Linked DNA regions of Macaca fascicularis. Each later gene encodes a partner of the first gene's protein in a complex. Links are inferred from orthologs where the notes say so. Each region holds a gene or a part of one and is shown in the gene's direction. Other genes may lie near its edges.

The links.
Region 2: the proteins of KEAP1 (region 1) and NFE2L2 are in contact, whole or in part, in a crystal structure (PDB 3WN7), measured with the Mus musculus proteins. The link is inferred for Macaca fascicularis from reciprocal best matches to the Homo sapiens genes KEAP1 and NFE2L2. Residues at the interface, in NP_001103775.1 of Mus musculus: Tyr334, Ser363, Gly364, Arg380, Asn382, Pro384, Asp385, Gly386, Asn387, Asn414, Arg415, Ser431, Gly433, Cys434, His436, Ile461, Phe478, Gly480, Arg483, Ser508, Gly509, Tyr525, Gln530, Ser555, Ala556, Tyr572, Phe577, Ser602, Gly603; in NP_035032.1 of Mus musculus: Leu19, Ile22, Leu23, Arg25, Gln26, Asp27, Ile28, Asp29, Leu30, Gly31, Val32, Val36, Phe37, Phe39.
Region 3: the proteins of KEAP1 (region 1) and FBXL17 are in contact, whole or in part, in a crystal structure (PDB 6W66), measured with the Homo sapiens proteins. The link is inferred for Macaca fascicularis from reciprocal best matches to the Homo sapiens genes KEAP1 and FBXL17. Residues at the interface, in NP_036421.2 of Homo sapiens: His59, Thr60, Ala63, Ile66, Met67, Glu69, Leu70, Gln75, Leu76, Gln82, Lys84, Ala90, His96, Val98, Ala101, Ser102, Ser103, Ser104, Pro105, Val106, Lys108, Ala109, Met110, Thr112, Asn113, Gly114, Val122, Ser124, Glu126, Gln163; in NP_001156787.2 of Homo sapiens: Asp395, Arg397, Arg421, Lys423, Asn447, Gln473, Tyr475, Met524, Arg548, Asn572, Cys574, Leu575, Trp577, Glu596, Tyr598, Val600, Ser601, Asp623, Trp626, Lys628, Tyr647, Met651, Arg652, Val676, Leu677, Asp679, Cys680, Thr683, Leu684, Arg686.

The regions. Positions count from the first base shown.
Region 1 is NC_088393.1:11,055,190-11,058,837, reverse strand, and holds part of KEAP1 (kelch-like ECH-associated protein 1), read left to right. Parts: intron 1-481; 5' UTR 482-528; coding exon 529-1,167; intron 1,168-3,648. UniProt on the Homo sapiens protein: Substrate-specific adapter of a BCR (BTB-CUL3-RBX1) E3 ubiquitin ligase complex that regulates the response to oxidative stress by targeting NFE2L2/NRF2 for ubiquitination.
Region 2 is NC_088386.1:72,799,854-72,804,263, reverse strand, and holds the start of NFE2L2 (nuclear factor erythroid 2-related factor 2), read left to right. Parts: upstream 1-1,565; 5' UTR 1,566-1,733; coding exon 1,734-1,778; exon of another isoform or gene 1,779-2,907; intron 2,908-4,410.
Region 3 is NC_088380.1:114,341,969-114,344,405, reverse strand, and holds part of FBXL17 (F-box/LRR-repeat protein 17), read left to right. Parts: intron 1-1,299; coding exon 1,300-1,440; 3' UTR 1,441-2,437. UniProt on the Homo sapiens protein: Substrate-recognition component of the SCF(FBXL17) E3 ubiquitin ligase complex, a key component of a quality control pathway required to ensure functional dimerization of BTB domain-containing proteins (dimerization quality control, DQC).

The DNA.
Region 1 (3,648 bases):
GTCAGCTCCAGCAGGTAGGATTTTTGTGTGTTTTGCTCACTGCTGTGTCTTCAGCACCCAGATCAGTGCCTGGCATACAGTAGGTGCCCAACAAATGGTGAGGCGAATGAAGGAATGAGCCCGACATGCTCTAGAAAGGGAAAGGCCACCAGATTACTGAAACAGAGTGATCAAAGGGAAGAGGTGGCAGGGGCTAATTGCGTAGGGCTTTGCAGGCTGTTGAGGAGTTCAGTTTTACTAGGTACTGTGGGAGGCATTGGAGGATCCAGAGCAGGGGAGAGACATGACCTCATCTATGTTTTAAGATGGGCTCTTGGGCTGGTCAGGTCAGGGGGATGTTTGCAAATTTGCAAATGGACTCTGCTTCACCTACTCTGCAGGAAAACTGACCTAGGAATTGCTTTATCTTACAAAAGGAGACCCTGCAGGTGCTGGCCCAGCCCCAACCCGTGCCCCCTGCCCTGTGCTCTCTCCCCTCCAGGCCCCTGAGTGCCAGAGGTGGTGGTGTTGCTTATCTTCTGGAACCCCATGCAGCCAGATCCCAAGCCTAGCAGGGCTGGGGCCTGCAGCCGATTCCTGCCCCTGCGGTCACAGTGCCCTGAGGGGTCAGGGGACGCGGTGATGTATGCCTCCACTGAGTGCAAGGCGGAGGTGACGCCCTCCCAGCATGGCAACCGCACCTTCAGCTATACCCTGGAGGATCATACCAAACAGGCGTTCGGCATCATGAACGAGTTGCGGCTCAGCCAGCAGCTGTGTGACGTCACACTGCAGGTCAAGTACCAGGACGCGCCTGCCGCCCAGTTCATGGCCCACAAGGTGGTGCTAGCCTCATCCAGCCCCGTCTTCAAGGCCATGTTCACCAATGGACTGCGGGAGCAGGGCATGGAGGTGGTGTCCATTGAGGGTATCCACCCCAAGGTCATGGAACGCCTCATCGAATTCGCCTACACGGCCTCCATCTCCATGGGCGAGAAGTGTGTCCTTCACGTCATGAACGGCGCTGTCATGTACCAGATCGACAGCGTTGTCCGTGCCTGCAGTGACTTCCTAGTGCAGCAGCTGGACCCCAGCAATGCCATCGGCATCGCCAACTTCGCCGAGCAGATTGGCTGTGTGGAGTTGCACCAGCGTGCCCGGGAGTATATCTACATGCATTTCGGGGAGGTGAGCGGGGAGGTGGGGCTGGGGGCAGTGTCAGGAGAAGGACCAGGGATGGATGAGTGCTCATCACTGTCTCCCCTTGAGATGTGAAGGCAGGAACCTGGAGGAAAAGGAGGTTCTGGGCTGGGCACGGTGGTGTAGTCCCCACAGTTTGGGGGGCCTAGGTGGGGGGATTGCTTGAAGCCAAAAGTTCAAGACCAACCCGGGCAACATAATGAGACCCTGTCTCTAAACAAACAAACAAATAAACAAAAAACAACTGGGGGCCGGGCGCGGTGGCTCAAGCCTGTAATCCCAGCACTTTGGGAGGCCGAGGCGGGTGGATCACCTGAGAATGGGAGTTTGAGACCAGACTGACCAACATGGAGAAACCCCGTCTCTACTACAAATACAAAAAAATTAGCCGGGTATGGTGGTGCATGCCTGTAATGTCAGCTAGTCGGGAGGCTGAGGCAGGAGAATCACTTGAACCCAGGAGGCGGAGGTTGCTGTGAGCCAAGATCGCACCATTGCACTCCAGCCTGGGCAACGAGAGCGAAACTCAGTCTAAAAAAAAACAAAAAAAAAAAACTGAGGCCAGCCGTGGTGGCTCACGCCTGTAATCCCAGCATTTTGGGAGGCTGAGGTGGGTGGATCAGCTGAGGTAAGGAGTTCAAGACCAGCCTGGCCAACATAGCGAAAACCCATCTCTACTAAAAATATAAAAATTCGCCAGGCCTGGTGGTGCGCGCCTGTAGTCCCAGCTGCTCAGGAGGCTGAGGCAGGAGAATCACTTGAACCCGAGAGGCGGAGGTTGCAGTGAGCCGAGATCAAGCCACTGCACTCACTCCAGCCTGCGCGACAGAGCGAGACTCAGTTTCAAAAAAAAAAAAAAAAATTAAAAAACAACTGGGGTTCTGAGTTCCTTGTCTACGCGTGTGGGGACACTGGTGAACAGCTGGGGAAGGTGAGGTCTTCATGTGTCTCTGGGCTCCCTAGTTTCTCTGGGGTCAAAGGTGGGGACAGAGTGCAGTGAAAAGCAGCCAAATCCTGGGGCAGCCCAGCCTTTCGGACAGTCAGCAAATGTTTATTGAACACCCATTACAGGTTGCAAGCTGTAAGCCTGAACCTTAGTCATGTTTTCTTTGGTCCACGCAATGTCCTTACCATTTTTGGTTTCATTTTCGTTTCTCTGAAGGAAATTATCTATAGAAATTGATAAGAGAGGGCAGGGCCCAGTGGCTCATGCCTGTAATCCCAGCACTTTGGAAGGCTGAGGCGGGTGGATCACCTGAGGTCAGGAGTTTGAGACCAGCCTGACCCAATGTGGTGAAATCCCATCTCTATTAAAAATACAAAAAAAAAACTAGCCAGATGTGGTGGCATATGTGGTGGCATAGTCCCTGCTACTTGAGAGGCTGAGACAGGAGAATCGCTTGAACCGGGGAGGTGGAGGTTGCAGTGAGCCGAGATCGCACCATTGCACTCCAGCCTGGGTGACAGAGCGAGACTCTGTCTCAAAAAAAAAAAAAGCCCTGGCTCAGTGGCTCATGCCTATAATCCCAGCACTTTGGTGACGCCCCGCCTCTACTAAAAAACAAAAAATTAGCCGGGCGTAGTGGTGGGCGCCTGTAGTCCCAGCTACTCCAGCTACTCGGGAGACTGAGGCAGGAGAATGGTGTAAACCTGGGAGGCGGAGCTTGCGGTGAGCAGAGATTGCGCCACTGCACTCCAGCCTGGGCGACAGAGCGAGACTCCATCTCAAAAAAAAAAGATTTTAAGACCAGCCCTGGGTGCAGTGGCTCATGCCTATAATTCCAGCACTTTGGAAGGTGAGGGGAGTGGACCACTTGAGGTCAGGAGTTCTAGACCAGCCTGGCCAATATGGTGAAACCCAGTCTCTACCATAAAAATATGAAAATTGGCTGTGCATGGTGGCACACACCTGTATCCCCAGCAACTCAGGAAGCTGAGGTGGGAAGATCGTTTGAGCCCAGGAGTTTAAGGCTGCAGTGAGCTATGATCGTGCACTCCAGCCTAGGTGACAGAGCCTGTCTCAAAAGCAAAAACAGTCCAGGTCCGGTGGCTCACACCTGTAATCCCAGCACTTAGGGAGGCTGAGATGGATGAATCACCTAAACTCAAGAGTTCAAGACCAGCCTGGCCAACGTGAAGAAACCCCATCTCTACTAAATACAAAAATTCCAGCCTGGCCAACATAGTGAAACCCCGTCTCTACTAAAAGTAAATACAAAAAAAATTAGCCACTGTGGAGGCACACCCCCGTAATCTCAGCTACTTGGGAGGCTGAGGCAGGAGAATCACTTGAACCCTGGAGGCGGAGGTTGCAGTGAACCAAGATCTCACCACTGCACTCCAGCTTGGGCAACAGGGTAAGACCCCATATCAAAATAAATAAAAAATTAACTGGGCATGGTGGTGGGCGCCTGTAATGCCAACTACTTGAGAGGCTGATGCAGGAGAATCGCTTGAACCTGGGAGGCG
Region 2 (4,410 bases), on another chromosome or scaffold:
TTTATTATTATGTCTCTGCATCTTTCATGTGAGGTCCTTTGCAAACAATTTCTCCTAACTTGTTTTCATTGTGCAGATAATGTTGCAGGGTTTTCACATAACAGCTGAAAGGAATTAATAGGAATTGAAGAAGCTTGCTTCAATTACAAGTAATTAATGTAGGCTTCACTTATCTCAAGGAATATCTGAATATACAAATTTACACATAAATCCTGGGAGTGTCAAATTATGCAACAGAGAGAAAGTAAGCTCTGCAGTTTTTTGGGCGTTGATCGCTATAGTCAGGGGTGTGTGTGTGTGTGGTTTTTGAATGAAATAGTAAAACCACTGCCAGTATTATCTACTTCACCTGGTTCTGAATAATTCCAGGAAGGTAGAAACTGAAAACCAGTCTTGTTAAAGAGTTAGAAAGACTGTAAATGCGTAAGAGGAAAGAAAAAAACAAAACCAAACCATTTATCTATCCTCTTTGAACCCGTATAAGGTTCACAATATTCCTGGTTTCAAATACTTGAAGTTTTCTCTGGGCAATAATTAATGTTTAAATAATTGTTTTTAATGTAAGACATAACACATACGCATTGCAGATTTAAAGCATACTTGGAAGTAGCAAGGAAAAAGATAAAAATCATTGATTCCACAGCATTTAATATATTGGTAACTATCCTTCAATTTTTTTCTGGGCACATGTTTTTATAAAATGAGCCAATACTATACAAACGTTTTTGTAACTTTTTAAAATTTGTACTATTTTGTGAGTACGTGAAAAAGAAATTTGTAAAGATTAAAAGATCATAGCATGTTGTGGTATTACACACTGTTGAAGGGCGCCATCTGTGGCGTGGTGGCTGTGCTTTAGTGGGAAGAAGTTCTCTTGCGGTTCCCGTTTTTCTCCCAGCTCTGGGTAGGCAATACTGACCACTCTCCGACCTAAAGGGACTTCTCCGTTTGCCCTTGACGGAGACACGTGGGAGTTCAGAGGAGAGCGTTCAGGGTGACTGCGAACACGAGCTCCCGGCGCTGTCCACATCTCCCCTGGGCAGGGCCCACTGCCCCCAGCCCGGGAGGGGAGCAAGGGCGGGAGGGCAGTTGGCAGTGGCACGGCCTGGGTCCAAACCTTTAGCCCCCCACCCCGGCTGGCGCCACTCTCGGGCGGTAAAGTGAGATAAAAGCAGGGCAAGGTTCTGTAACTCCAAATCAGGGAGGCGCAGCTCCTACACCAACGCCTTTCCGGGGCTCCGGGTGTGTTTGTTCCAACTGTTTAAACTGTTTCAAAGCGTCCGAACTCCAGCGACCTTCGCAAATAACTCTTTATCTCGCGGGCTAGAGCGCTGCCCTTATTTGCGGGGGAGGGCAACTGAACGCCGGCACCGGGGCGCTAACTGTGGCCTCCTCTCGATCCCCCGCCTGCTGGGACCCCAGCTGGCAGTCCCTTCCCGCCCCCGGACCGCGAGCTTCTTGCGTCAGCCCAGGCGCGGGTGGGGGATTTTCGGAAGCTCAGCCCGCGCGGCCGGCGGGGGAAGGAAGGGCCCAGGCTCTTGCCCCGCCCTTCTGGGGCGGGAGGCGGAGCGGGGCAGGGGCCCGCCGGCGTGTCGCCGATCAGCGAGTGCCGGGGAGCCCGGAGGAGCCACCGACGCCGCTGCCGCCACCAGAGCCGCCCTGTCCGCGCCGCGCCTTGGCAGCCGGAACGGGGCCGCCGTCGGGGAGCCCCAACACACGGTCCCCAGCTCAGCATGATGGAGTTGGAGCTGCCGCCGCCGGGACTCCCGTCCCAGCAGGTGCTGCCTCGGCCCTCTGGGCCCTGCGGTGGTGCCGGGACGGGGGCGGGGGAGCTAGGGAACCGCGGCCCGGGAGGGATAGCCGCAGCCGGCTTCCTCCACGTCCGGTCAGAGCCAGGACCGCAGCGCTGGCTGGAGCCGCCGCGCTTGCGCTGGGGCAGGGTGGGGAGGGGCAGCGGGGACGCGGCCGGGTGGTCCGACCGACCACGAGCCCGAGGGCGAACGGGTGGGAAGTTGCGGGAAGGTCTGGGGACTGAGCCCGCGGGCGTGGGCAGTGGTGGGCGAATCCAGCCGCGTCCCCGGTCCCCAGAGCTGGGCTTCGGAGCCCCTAAGTTTGAGCGGCCCGGCGGGCAGCGGGGCAAGAGGGGGCGGACGCTGGCCGTCTGAGCCGGCGCGGCCCGGCCCTTCCGGGGCTGCGCGGCTCCCCCGCCTCAGAGCCGGCAAAAATGTGCCTAGTCACGGGGCCACTCTCGGGGGAACTGAGGTCGCCTTCGGGCTGGGACCCAGAGCCCCTTCGCCGCGCCCCAAGACCTCCGTGTGTGCGGGCTGCGGCGCGCTCACCCCGCTGGGCCGTCTGTGGGCGCTGCTTTGCGAAGTCATCCATCTGTCGGATCACTCTCTGGCAGCCTTGAGCTTTCTTGAAAGCTCAACCCCGGGACGAGGGAGGAGCGCCTGAAGTGCCCAGCGGGCCCAGAAGCCCCGACGTGTGGCGGCTGAGCCGGGCCCCGCGCACTTTCTCGGCCGGGGAGGGGTTCGGGCCCGGGCACCCGGAGTTGGCCTCTCGCAACGCCGCGGGAAAGTGCGGGCGAGGGCAGCGGACTCTGAGGCCGGAGTCGGCGGCACCCGGGGCGTCTAGTTCGGACGCTGTGCCCCCTGGTGGCGCGCACCGCGCGCGTGGCTTTGGCCTCTGTGACAGCGGTCTGTTGGCCGTCACAGCAGCCCTCGGTTGGCCCTTTCCTGCTTTATAGCGTGCAAACCTCGCCGCGCCAGGGCCAAGGGACAAGTTGGAGCTGTTGATCTGTTGCGCAATTGTTATTTTCCCCAGAGCGGCTTTGTCTTTGGATTTAGCGTTTCAGAATTGCAATTCCAAAATGTGTAAGACAGGAGATTCTCTTCTGTGCTGTCAAGGGTAAGAGTTGCGAGTGTAGATTAGAATTTCTATTGCTTTTAGTTTGTTAATAATTTTTTGCTTTCAGCTGTTATTTCTTCCCTGAGTACTTTATATATTTTTCCTTTTCAGTTGAGAATTTGCCTCAGTTTCTTAACATGTCCACCCTCTTTTGCAGGGGCAGAGAGTGGAACGCTTGCGTTTCAAAACACATGCTAATTTCTGTAAATTGTTATAAAAGGGAAAAGAAGTTTCAGCTCATCCTTGTAGAAACTTTAAAAGTAGATATTTATATTTCTAATTTCTTTTGTAAATGAATTTTAGGAAAAAAATTGGAATTCAAGGAAACGTGTACTTGATGTACGGTAAATTCGTTTATGCTGTTAAATGTAAAGTCTTAGGTTAATTCCAAAGATCTATTGTAAAGTTTTAAGTTATAGACAATGTATTAATTGTGCCTTTTTTTCCCCCTTTAAAGTTGTCTTGAACTTTTCCCCAATCTTGATTGGGATTATATTCTTCTGGTTCCAACTAGGGAAGAAGTAAATTGTACTTTACGATTTATTTAATAGCTGCTGTTCAAGAGTTATCTATAGGAATGCTTGTTTGACCGAAGGATATATGATAAAAATGAACTTTGGTTTTTCTAATTTCCCAAATTGTCTACAACCCTCTATTAAATTTTTCTTTCTTTGCTGTGTAATATAACATTCCATATACAAAAATGCATAAAACATATGTACTGCATTGTGTATTTTTCAATTACGTTTGATAAAAATAACTGCTTTTCTGCCTTTGTAATCAGATATCGATTTGCATATTTGAAAACAGAAAAAGAACAAGAAAATTTAGAATTGATTTCGTTTATGATTCATATTAGATTGTTGTCATCCATAAAGATTTGAACTGAGTCAAACATTTTCTTGATCTTTTGTCAAAAAAACTCTCCAGGTGTGAAGTGGTAGTAGGATGTAGTTTTTCACCTTCTGTGCAGAGGATGTGTTGATAAACAGGGCAGTAAGGAGAGCCTTAGATTCAGTATCCCCATTAGGTGGAAGGAACATCCATTACTCTTTTCAAGGGTGTCTTGGAGAGATAAAGTACTTTCCTGGATGAGGGATGAAGCTGATATTGAAATAGACCGATGAGATTATGTTTAAGTCAAACAAAAGAAAAATAGGACAGGCCTCTCATCTCCTGAATGAATGTTAAGCAAAGACCAACTTGACTTTTTAGATATGTGAAAAATCTCTTGAGAGGTTGTGGAAGCAGCATGTAGGAGGATAAATGCATAACTCACATCAGTCTTTTCCGCATTAAAAATAACTTGGGCCATTTTGAAATCTTTCTTTCTTGCCCTGGGTTGTTATAAGCAACGTTGGGGGAAAACCGACTCTGTCTTTAGGATTACCAGGAAAAGTTGAAAGCCAAATGCATCATTTTTCTTAAGATTTGTTTCTATTGAGGATAAATCATGTTTAACAAAGCTGCGTGAAAAAAAGGAACACAACAAGTACATTTTTT
Region 3 (2,437 bases), on another chromosome or scaffold:
ATCAGTTTTCCTTTTTTTATTCAAAATTATTTTATTAGCTTTTGAAAATAAAATGTTATAAATCATAGCTTTATCACAAAAAGAATTAGTTATATGGCTTGGTTAAATTTGACTTAAACACAAGCAGTTCTTAAATAGAGAAATGCTCTGGCAAAGATTTAGTATCATCAACACAATGTTGAAATATCAACTGTGTCAATAATGTAAAAAGATTAACAGATAACATAGTTTTCTAGATCACTTAGAAAACATCATGCTATTTCAGAAAAGTGCAGATAACTGAATTTCATGATCATCATACTTCTAAGCAGGCTTTCAAAGCAAACAGCAAGGGTTTGATGTTGTTTTAGGTTTTTCCTAGTGATCCTGATCTTTTCCAATAATGGACATCAAGAGGTATGCTCAAAAATGTGTATCACAAGTACCTTCTTTCAGACTAGCTTACTCAGTATAAATGAAATATTGATGTATTTGAAAATGCCCAAGTGTTCAATAAAGATTTTAAATAAAGCTACCTAAAAGTTGTGGTTCTTAGGTTAATCATTTATTTATCTAAAGGATGAAGAAAACTGTCTACTTCTGTGATATGCACTGCAATCAGCTTAAAAATAATTGACAAATTAATCCCTTCACAGCACAGCAATTGTAAAGGTGTTAGTTTTAATTAGGCCTGTCTGATTGCCTTGTCTAATCAAGAATCAAGGTGGTATCTTTGATGGTTAAGGTCTATTGGGGCCATCTCTGACCTGCCAGCCATGTATGTTTTAATTATTGATTCCTCACATTTCAGCCCTTTTCACAAAGGCACTTGAAGTTTGCAGTACCTTAACATTTAAAGGGAAGAAAAATAAACATCTTCCCCAACACTTCTGTCTGGAATCCTGTGTATCCTCTCCGGCTTTCCACAATTTTTGTCCTAAGAAGGCTGTTGGGTTGATGATGAAGTCAAGTGCACATTAGCTATCTTACTGCTTCTTCACCTCCCAAGCACTGGATTTTCAATGGACATGGTTAAGATCTTGACAAATCACAGTCATCTATGCTTCTAGAAAACACTTTTGATTTCTTGATATTATGTCTTTTTAAAATCCCTAAGGGCAGGTGTGTTACTGGGAGATCAGAAAGGTCAGATGAAAGGGGACACATATCTTCTCACAAAACCCTTCCTCACATCGCTAGGAGGAGCAAAGCCAGGGCTCCTTGTGCCACCGTGAGTCAGCCGCAGCACATCAGTGAGCATGGGCAGCGGCATGGTGTTGGTGGTCTCTGTGCGTGATGATGGCTCTTCTTTGTTTGCAGGTCAACGAAGTGACGGTGGAACAGCTGGTGCAGCAGTACCCCCACATCACCTTTAGCACCGTCCTGCAGGACTGCAAGAGGACCTTGGAGAGAGCCTATCAGATGGGCTGGACCCCCAACATGTCTGCCGCCTCCTCCTAACGCTCCTGCCCCGCCTAGTCCACTGGCATCATTCAGCAGAGCAAAGGAGAATTGTACATTTGGGGGGCTGATCTCTCGGAAGGGTTTTAACTGTCGCCTGTCTGTATGTGTTCAAGTATGTGTATTTGTGTCTTGTTTGCATACTGTATACCAGAAGTGCAGTTGTCATTTGTTCCCAAGTGAGCTGGCTTTTTTTCTTAGAAATTAAAGATTATGAAAGCCACAAACTTTTTAGTTTTTAACTTCAAAGGCTTCTTTCTCTTTAAAAAAAAAAAAAAAAGTTTTTTTAATATAGAGTCAAAAAATTAGATGTATTATTTTGAGCTTCTAATTGCTGCCACTTGGAGATGTCCAAATAAGAAGGCCTTCTTTTTACATGGGATGAATTGTGCACTTCTGCTGATGACGACTACAATAGAAGTGATGTTACACGTACAGGCACTTACATTCTCACATAGTCACACATGTGTGCACATCTACACCGGGGCTCTCATCTACTCCAGATCATTTCCTGACAGAGAAGCCTTCTTCCAGGCCACCGAGGTAGCATGTTATCCACTGTGGCACTGCCTAACTCCATGCATCCTCAGGTGGCCAACTTGCTATCTGGTAGGTGACTTGGGGACTAGAAAGAATAAAGCCTTTTCTAAATTTGTTATATGGAGGCAACAATCTGAACTCCCCTGGCCAGCTCACAAAAATTAATTATACATTATTCTACAAATGCATTCTGTTGAGCACTAAATATTTTAGTTGGTTTTACGTTAACATTGTGTTAGCTTTTATTTCCTGGATAGTAACTGGTCAGGATATATTTTAATGATATTTGAAACTAATCTTAGCATTGAAGCCACCAATGTAATTAATGGTGTGCAATTATTTTAAGAAGTACAGATCATTTCATTATTTTCTTAATTTTGGTAATTATTAAAGTGTATTTCTGAGATACGAGAGGATAGTCACATTAATAGATTCATGAGTGAGATATAAGTAGACA